2 linked regions of the Neodiprion lecontei genome follow. Each later gene encodes a partner of the first gene's protein in a complex. Links are inferred from orthologs where the notes say so. Each region holds a gene or a part of one and is shown in the gene's direction. Other genes may lie near its edges.

Region 1 (3,973 bases):
AGATAAGAGGCTCTTATTACTTGTTTTGTTCTTTACAGCACTGTTATTTTATTTTAGATTAGTTGAAACCGTTTGCTTCATGTTCATCATCGTCATCAATAACAAGCAAAAACAATCTATGACCATTTAAATCGCTGTTTTACTGTAGCAAATGCTATTCATTTTGTTTCAATATTATCAATGACAATTTTAGCAAAGTGTAACCTCCCACAGTTTTCCCAACTACTTCTCTGCCAAAGTAGAATACCGTGAAACTTAACCTCTATATTATATATACTCTAATGTAATTAAAAAAATATCGTAAATAAACTGATCAATTTACACACACATTTCGTCCTTCTATTCTCTGCTAAGGCTCTCATATGTACAAATACTGATCACACGGCCATTGCCCATGGTCATAAATCAGCAGCTTTCCGAGACTTCAGGTTTCTGTATGCAGTTATGGCTTCTTTCTGTCGTTCCTCCAGTTGTCTTCTTTCCCCAACCGGGAGATCTTTGCGTTTTCCAGATCTATTGACAGACTTAACGCCTGTTGTGTTCTCGGCAGATTTGTCATGGCTCTTGAAAAGCGAATCAAGAAGAAGACGTCTTCGTCCAGGCTATCGGAAAATCATCGGTAAAATTAATCCAAAAAAATACAACGCATAACTAATCAAATATTGGTAAGGTTTTTACCCGTTCGGAGTGAGAAGCGTCTGCTTTTTTCGGTTTGATTTTTAGTTCTGGAGGAGCGTGGACAACATCTCCAAATTCAATAGTCTCCTTGAAGACCTTGAACTCGTCTATATTGTCCTGCAGTTTTTTAGTTTTTTTCAACTCGAGCTTGTGTTTCCTTTTCTGAGCTTTCGTCAGCCTAGTCGTCTCGGTGTCTTTCTTCTTTTTCTTTTTCTTCTTGGTATTACTGTGCTTCAATTTGAGTCTCATTAATTCATCTATCTCATCCTTCGATCTCTTAGACAATCCTTCGATATTACCAGTACTTGGATCTCGCTTGACTTCCACACCATATTTGTCTTCAAACGCAGTCTCATTTAAGAACGCCTGAGTCTCCGAGTTCACTCGGTTCAAAAAAGCCTTTCCACATTCGTCTGGTCTTTGCGAAAAAACAGGAACAACTTTCTCCGGTCTTGCCTTGGGATGAGCGATCTGTGGATGGTGATTGCCCATCACGATCAGTTGATTTTTCAGCTTCGTTTTTTTCTTGGTATTTTTCTTCATCATCTTACCGTCCTTCACGCTTTGCTTCAGCTTCATCACGCGCTCAAGACTCTTCGGTATCGCCTGCTCATCCTTGTCCCTCGGCGGCGCGTTTATCACTTTGTTTAACCTAAAATTTGACACGTTACGATGATCAACTTAACCTACAAAATTTAATCACACAACTCCACGCAACGATATTTACTCTGATAAACGCTTCTTTTGTTGCTTAGTCGGGTCCTTCACTCCTCTGTGTTTTTTTCCGGGTATCTTGCGTCCCATTTTCACTTTATTTCATAACTTCAATGTTTCGGCTGTACTTATGTACTAGTTCCAGCAGCACGCACGCTTCGAATTTGGACCAACCAAACTTATTGTTTAGCCACGGATCGCAAATCCCGACAGTGCTGCACTCGTGCGGAGTTTTTACGAACGATTTTTGTGCGGCAAAATTTAAATTTGGTGAATCACCCACCGGTGGAGGCTCCGCCGGCCGCGGTGTTGAGAAAATATAACCTAACCTCTCAGCAATCTTATAACCTCGGTGTGTAACCGATATTACGGAATGGGATGTTAAACATAGAGGTTTTTCAAAGAATATCAATTACACATTGCATAAAATACGAAAATCGTTTGACCGGCACGCGGATTTAAGCATTACGACTATGATCGTGCCTCCGTTAATTTGAGAAATACAACAAACCATTATACCAAGTAGCAATATGACATCGATAATAAGAAGATCGTATGTGTTGCTCAGGGTTTATCCAGGAATGAGAAAAAAGTTGATACTGCACGACCTGAAAAGTTACCGACCAACAACAGCTTTGCGTTGCATATCTGTGACCAGCGCTCATCTGTCTAAAGACAATAGTAACAAAAAAAATGAAGGTAGCAAGGCGGTGAGTTTTTACGGGTTTGCACAGGTTAGAAGTAAGGAGAAAAAAACGTACTTAGACGTACTGCGAATGTTCGTCGACAGAGACATTCACAGGCGAGGTCACGTCGAATTCATTTACGCAGCAATGAAGCACATGGAGGAATTCGGAGTCGAAAAAGATCTAGAGGTATACAAAAACTTGATCAATGTACTACCGAAGGGGAAGTTCATTCCGGAGAATACGATACAGGCTGAGTTCATGCATTATCCAAAGCAGCAGCAATGCGCGATAGATGTCCTTGAACAGATGGAAAACAACGGAGTTATACCAGACAGGGAAATGCAGGATATCCTTCTCAACATATTCGGTAAGCTGGGATTTCCGCTGAGGAAGTATTGGAGAATGATGTACTGGATGCCCAAGTTCAAAAACGCGAGTCCATGGCCATTGCCAGAAGTTTTGCCCAATGATTCTCTCGAGTTGGCCAAACTGGCCATAGAGAGAATTACTAGCATCGATTTGCTCCGAAAAATCACAATCTTCCAGGCAAAAGATCTCGAAGATTCCATTGACGATACTTGGATTGTTTCTGGAATGAGTATTGGTCAGAAAAAACTGCTTAACAAGCATGCTTCCACAGCCCCCATATATGTGGAAGGGCCTTTTAGACTTTGGTTAAAAAACTTGACCATTAATTACTTCATACTGAGGGGAGATCCTGTTCCAAAACCTGACCTACCACCGCCTGACGACGATGGTAAGAAATATTCTTCTAAAAGTGATTTGTTGTCTTTTTCCTGAAACTCTCTTCGCCAATCTAATTAACAATAATGATCTTTTCCAGACGTTAGTAAAATTGAATTGCCATTTTGGAAAACAAAAAAATCTGTGGTACCGACTGAAGATGAGACGGCGATTCACGAGCAAGAGGATGGCACGATATTTGCTGTTTGTGCGACTGGAACCTCTAGTCGCGACTCTCTATTATCTTGGATTAGATTTTTACAGAAAGAGAATGACATCTTAGCTAATATTCCCATTATATTTAAGCCAAAGAGTCCCTTAGGCGACGTTGTATTGGCCAATAATAAATCTGACAAACCTAAAGATGAGGGAGTAGAAAATAAAGTTAATAAAGATTAGAATTTCATGTAAACAATTTCACCTGTACATAGTAAATAAAAAATCTGCGATCGTCGCTCAGCAATGCTTGAGCTATTTATTAAAAAAATAACATTGACTGGTGTGGTTTTTTAATTTCCCTGTAACTTGTTCAGTTTATTTTTTCTCTATCGCAATATTCTTCTAAATATGTATCAAGGTTTACATTTCAATGATAAAATCGTCGTAACTGAATGCGAAGTAAAGAATTTAAATGAATCGGAAAACTTACGCTGAAACTGTTGCGTGTTTAATTTCAATTACACGATCGCGCTGATCGAATGTCAGTTGAGCAGCGCTGTTTTCATCAAGAAAAAAAAAATCAAATCCCTATAAGAATGAAAACCTTGTCGCGGACGTATAAAAAAAATTAAACGATTAGCGTGAATTAATTTTCTCCGAGTCGTAATGACGGTTTAAAAATCTGTTCAAAACAAGGATAACTATAACGGGCAATGAAAGTATTTCTATGCTAACTGTGATAGGTAAATATCACGTATGTAGAAAAATCACATCACCCCAGCAGCTGATAGGATAAGATGGCCGCATGTGATACAAACAAATAATGGCGAGAGATCCACAAAGTTCGCGGGAATAATGCGGGTGAACGGTAAGTGGCATCTCGTACATTAGGTTTAAAAATATTCCGTAAAAGTTTGACATTTCATTCAGAAATAGACTGTCAAAGATAATCCGCGCGCGGTACTCGTTCACCGCCTTATCAATGTCTA
Region 2 (4,168 bases), on another chromosome or scaffold:
CAGCTCCGAATGCACAAATGGCATTGTTGAGTGCTATATAATAATTGGGTATAATTGTGTTAGTTAATTATAGTGTTAATATGATAGTGATATATAATAACGTATAATAGTATTATAGTTCTCTGTGGTACGAAGATCTCGTAACATGGTTTTTAAGCCTTGGCTAGTGAATTTCATAGTTATTTCCATCTAGGGATATTCCAAATAGTTAGACAGTTGTTTTAATTTCTTATGGTTACAAGATTCTCGTACTTCGAGTTTGGTTAGTTGATAAAAGTAACATGCAGTAATAATAATCGATAAAACATACGGACGTTCCGGTCGGACGTTACACGAGCTTCCTTGAGGAAACCTTCGGCACTGCGATTGGCTGTTTCGTTTCATGTAGCCAACGCTTGCGCTCGGCGTCTATGCACTTATGACCCGTATGACGCGGATCACAGCCAGTCTACGGGTTAACTTCTTTGAGGTTACACACTCTCATCAACCGACGCGACTTGACAATGAGAGCCAAGTGGTTTAAGTTAGATTTAAATACAGCCGAGTGGCGCTTCGATCAGCAGTTTTACCACCATAAGCAATCTCATATCCCTAAATATGTCCTCCTTCTGGAAGGGAGAGCCAAGTTGTGACTATGAAACGAGGACGCCTCTGAGATTCAAGGAAGCCTTCATCAAGGCGTCCTTTATCCTTGAGATAAGGAGTTACTATGAATACGGGTGTATGGGCGCAACTCGTTAATGCTTAAACTCAAAAAATCGAGCAAGATTGGTCAAAACTGGTAAATGCAGTAATGTTAAGTAAACCCCGGTGGAAAACGCTATAAGATACTTTTGGGCGAACGCGCCTAGAAATTTTTGCCCACGTTATAGTGAGAAAAACTGGAACACGCGTGTCTTGACCTGGTATAATCTAGGGACCTTGTCAGGGTGCGATTTAAACGCCTGTATATATACCCGTATTCATAGTCTCTCCTTATTTCAAGGATAAAGGACGCCTTGATGAAGGCTTCCTTTAATCTCAGAGGCGTCCTCGTTTCATAGGGTGTATTCCGAAATATACTGACAGTACTGCAAGTACTGGCAACCACGTTCCGAAATCGCGCGACAGCTTACTGCCGCCACTCAGTGACGTCATGAAATTTGTGATGTTGTTGACTGCGACTACTGCGGTCGGGGATGTGAGGCAGCTGCACTACTTGAGAGATGGCCGCGTCCTCGGTGTAGCGTTCCGATTTTATTGCGGCTGGCAACTCGAAGTAAAAACGGTACGCAGTTCGCAGTTGACTGCGTAACGTCACGGTCGGCAGTACCGGAAGTATATTTCGGAATACACCCTTAATAGGTTACGATCAGCATCCTTCTTTTTTTACATTTTGTAGCGAAAATTTCCCTTTTTTCCGTAAGAGGCGCTCAAATTGCGATCAGACAATTCTTCTTACGTTACCTCCTCAGAGCACATACCACTAAGGTTACCTCAAAACTGGGGACAAGTTTTATCGCAGTTTTAATTGTCTCCTTCGTACTTTTCCGTGCTATCAAATCAAACTATTGGCAATTATAGAAAGATGAAGAATTATGGTGTTATTTTACGAGCAGTAAAAAGCAGCAGCAGTTTTCCCCTATCACTTCCGGTGCAAGTTTCTGCTGCTCGCAGTTCGGTTTCTCGAGCGACAAGCCACAAGACCACAAGAAGCCACGACCTATTTCATGAGCAGTGCTGCTGCTGCGTAAAATTAGCAGACTGATGCTAGTGAAAACTAGTAAGTTACTAAACCACTGCTGCTTTTTACTGCTCGTGAAATAGCACCCTTACGCTGCTTTTTCACGTGCAGCAAACAACCGAATGCGGCAGCTGCTAAAATTTTCTGATTGGTCAATGATTAATGGTGTACATACACACATGGATCTTGCTGTACATACATGCATCAAAATTGCTGCGAAGTAGAAACCCATTGTAGAAACGAACGTACTTTCGTTTGCTGCATACACAACAGAAGCCGCCCCCCCCCCCCCCCCCCCCCCCACGCCAACGCCAACACGTATGTATGCACGTATGTACGTAGCAGGCAGCCCCTGTGTCCATTGTCACATGTATTTATTACTGGCGATGCAACGAAGTGGCACGGGAAAGATATTACTAGGCGTTCGTTTATTATCACAGACAGTATCGGCAAGTGAATTACGGTGGAGTATGTTGCACGGCGCGTATCATCAGTAGTGATGTACTTCAGGATTCCACGGATGGTGGCAACAGTCACCAGATGTGAACACGTTGGGATACAAGTACGTCGGTTTTGGGAACAAGATCGCAAATCAGGTTATCCGCGAGTCGCAGCAAAAAGCTCATCCGAAAAACGAAACGACCTCTGGCACATTCGTAATGGCTTTCGTATACTCGGGGACGAGTTTAAACTCTTCAAACGTGAGGTAATTGAACACTTGGAAAGTGATCCGTTGTTGATATATCGAAAGGACGAAATTGACCTCGCTTGGCGGTTCAACGGTGACAAAAAGTCACTCGACCAATGGTTTGTCACCGCCGATAGTGACTATGAGGAAGGTTACTCAAATTGCAGGTGATTATGAGAAATTTGCATTCAGGCCCACGATTCGTGAAACAAGGACCTCAAATATTGCAGCCTAGTTTCATGAATCCGGCCCCAAATCGCATAAATATCTAAACTATAATCACTGCAGTACAGTTACGACACGTTGGAATGCTATTCCTCGACACGAGAAAATCCTTTGAGAATTTCAATAACGATTTTTTTTCGCTTTTCCTATCCACGCGAAGCCTGCAATTGACCAAGTCTGGCAGAGGGCTGTTTTCTGGATACTTGGACAAACGTGTACCAAAAACAGGAAACATCAAAAAGGCAGGATATTGCAACATTAATACTCTACGTGCTCGCAAGTCCTTCAAACGAGAAGGTTACTATGACTGGCATCCCTATAATCATCTGGTAATGCGGGTTAGAGGGGACGGTAGATCCTACATGCTCAACATATCGACAGCTGGATACTTTGATATAACTTGGAATGATGTCTATCACTATGCACTCTACACAAGAGGTGGACCTTATTGGCAGTATGTGAAAATACCTTTTTCAAAATTCTTCATGGCCAGCAAAGGAAGAATCCAAGACCACCAAGAGCCATTACCCCTGCACAATGTAGTTAGCTTCGGAATTACCGCAGCTGACAAGGTGACAGGGCCGTTTAACTTGGAAATTGACTACATCGGATTGTTATTTGATCCAAGTCATAAGGAAGAATGTGCGTATGAAATGTACAAAACTGACGACTACATCGCCGGATATTGATGTAGTTGCACAGACATTTATCTGTTTTTCCTCCATTTCAACAGCTCAGAAATTTCTGTTTGTAATTATAATTCTCCGTGGAGGAAATCAAATTGTAGCCAGGTTCACGTAGGATAATAAAAAATCTCATAAACATATATGACTCTGAATGGATAGACCATTCAATATCTTCTCTCCCTGCTAAGAAGTAACTGTCTCTGCTGAATTTTCTTCATACAGGATAAAAAATGTAAATCGTACAAAACCTAATCATTCATGTTTTCACCTAAATTTAATTATTAGTTGAACTAACGTTCCACGAGCGTTCATCAAGACACCTGCCGGTAAGCCAGGTCCGTTGTTTGTAGTCAAATTGCACGTTACTACCATCACGGCACAGGATTGCCGGTTCAGTTCGGATATCACAGCTTTTATTAGAATGCCTATCCAGCCATTAGAAAATGTCCAGCTTAGCTATCTCGTCCCTTAGGTATAACAGCAAACAGAAAATGACAGGAAGAAAACGACTTTCATGTCACCTGCTGGGTCGATTCGGCGTCAAATTTATGCAGTAGAATGTGATTGGTACAATTGATATTACATCCGGTTATACCGTGATCGATTTCGTCAATAGGAAAGCGGACGAAGATTGACTTGGATCTCAACCAGTTTAGTTACTATCCACCTGTAAACATGGCTGTAACTGTTATACACTTTATTGTGACAAATGGGAACGTAACAAACTAGCGAGAATAGAATTTGCATCAATCGTTGTACCAGGATACTATCACTGTAGTGTCCAGATCGAATATCAATCAGTTGATGATGACTTACACATTGACTGCTGATGAGCCATTGAGCCGG

What was found.
Region 2: evolutionarily conserved signaling intermediate in Toll pathway, mitochondrial (region 1) and complex I intermediate-associated protein 30, mitochondrial share a complex: the UniProt entries of both Homo sapiens proteins name them as parts of the mitochondrial complex. The link is inferred for Neodiprion lecontei from reciprocal best matches to the Homo sapiens genes ECSIT and NDUFAF1.

What each region holds. Positions count from the first base shown.
Region 1 is NC_060261.1:8,888,032-8,892,004, reverse strand, and holds evolutionarily conserved signaling intermediate in Toll pathway, mitochondrial, read left to right. Parts: upstream 1-1,712; 5' UTR 1,713-1,922; coding exon 1,923-2,838; intron 2,839-2,925; coding exon 2,926-3,224; 3' UTR 3,225-3,230; coding exon of another isoform or gene 3,231-3,256; 3' UTR 3,257-3,315; downstream 3,316-3,973. Other genes in the region: coiled-coil domain-containing protein 137, read right to left, coding at 399-602, 679-1,330, 1,406-1,482.
Region 2 is NC_060266.1:45,405-49,572, forward strand, and holds complex I intermediate-associated protein 30, mitochondrial, read left to right. Parts: upstream 1-2,036; 5' UTR 2,037-2,222; coding exon 2,223-2,578; intron 2,579-2,796; coding exon 2,797-3,325; 3' UTR 3,326-3,462; downstream 3,463-4,168. UniProt on the Homo sapiens protein: As part of the MCIA complex, involved in the assembly of the mitochondrial complex I.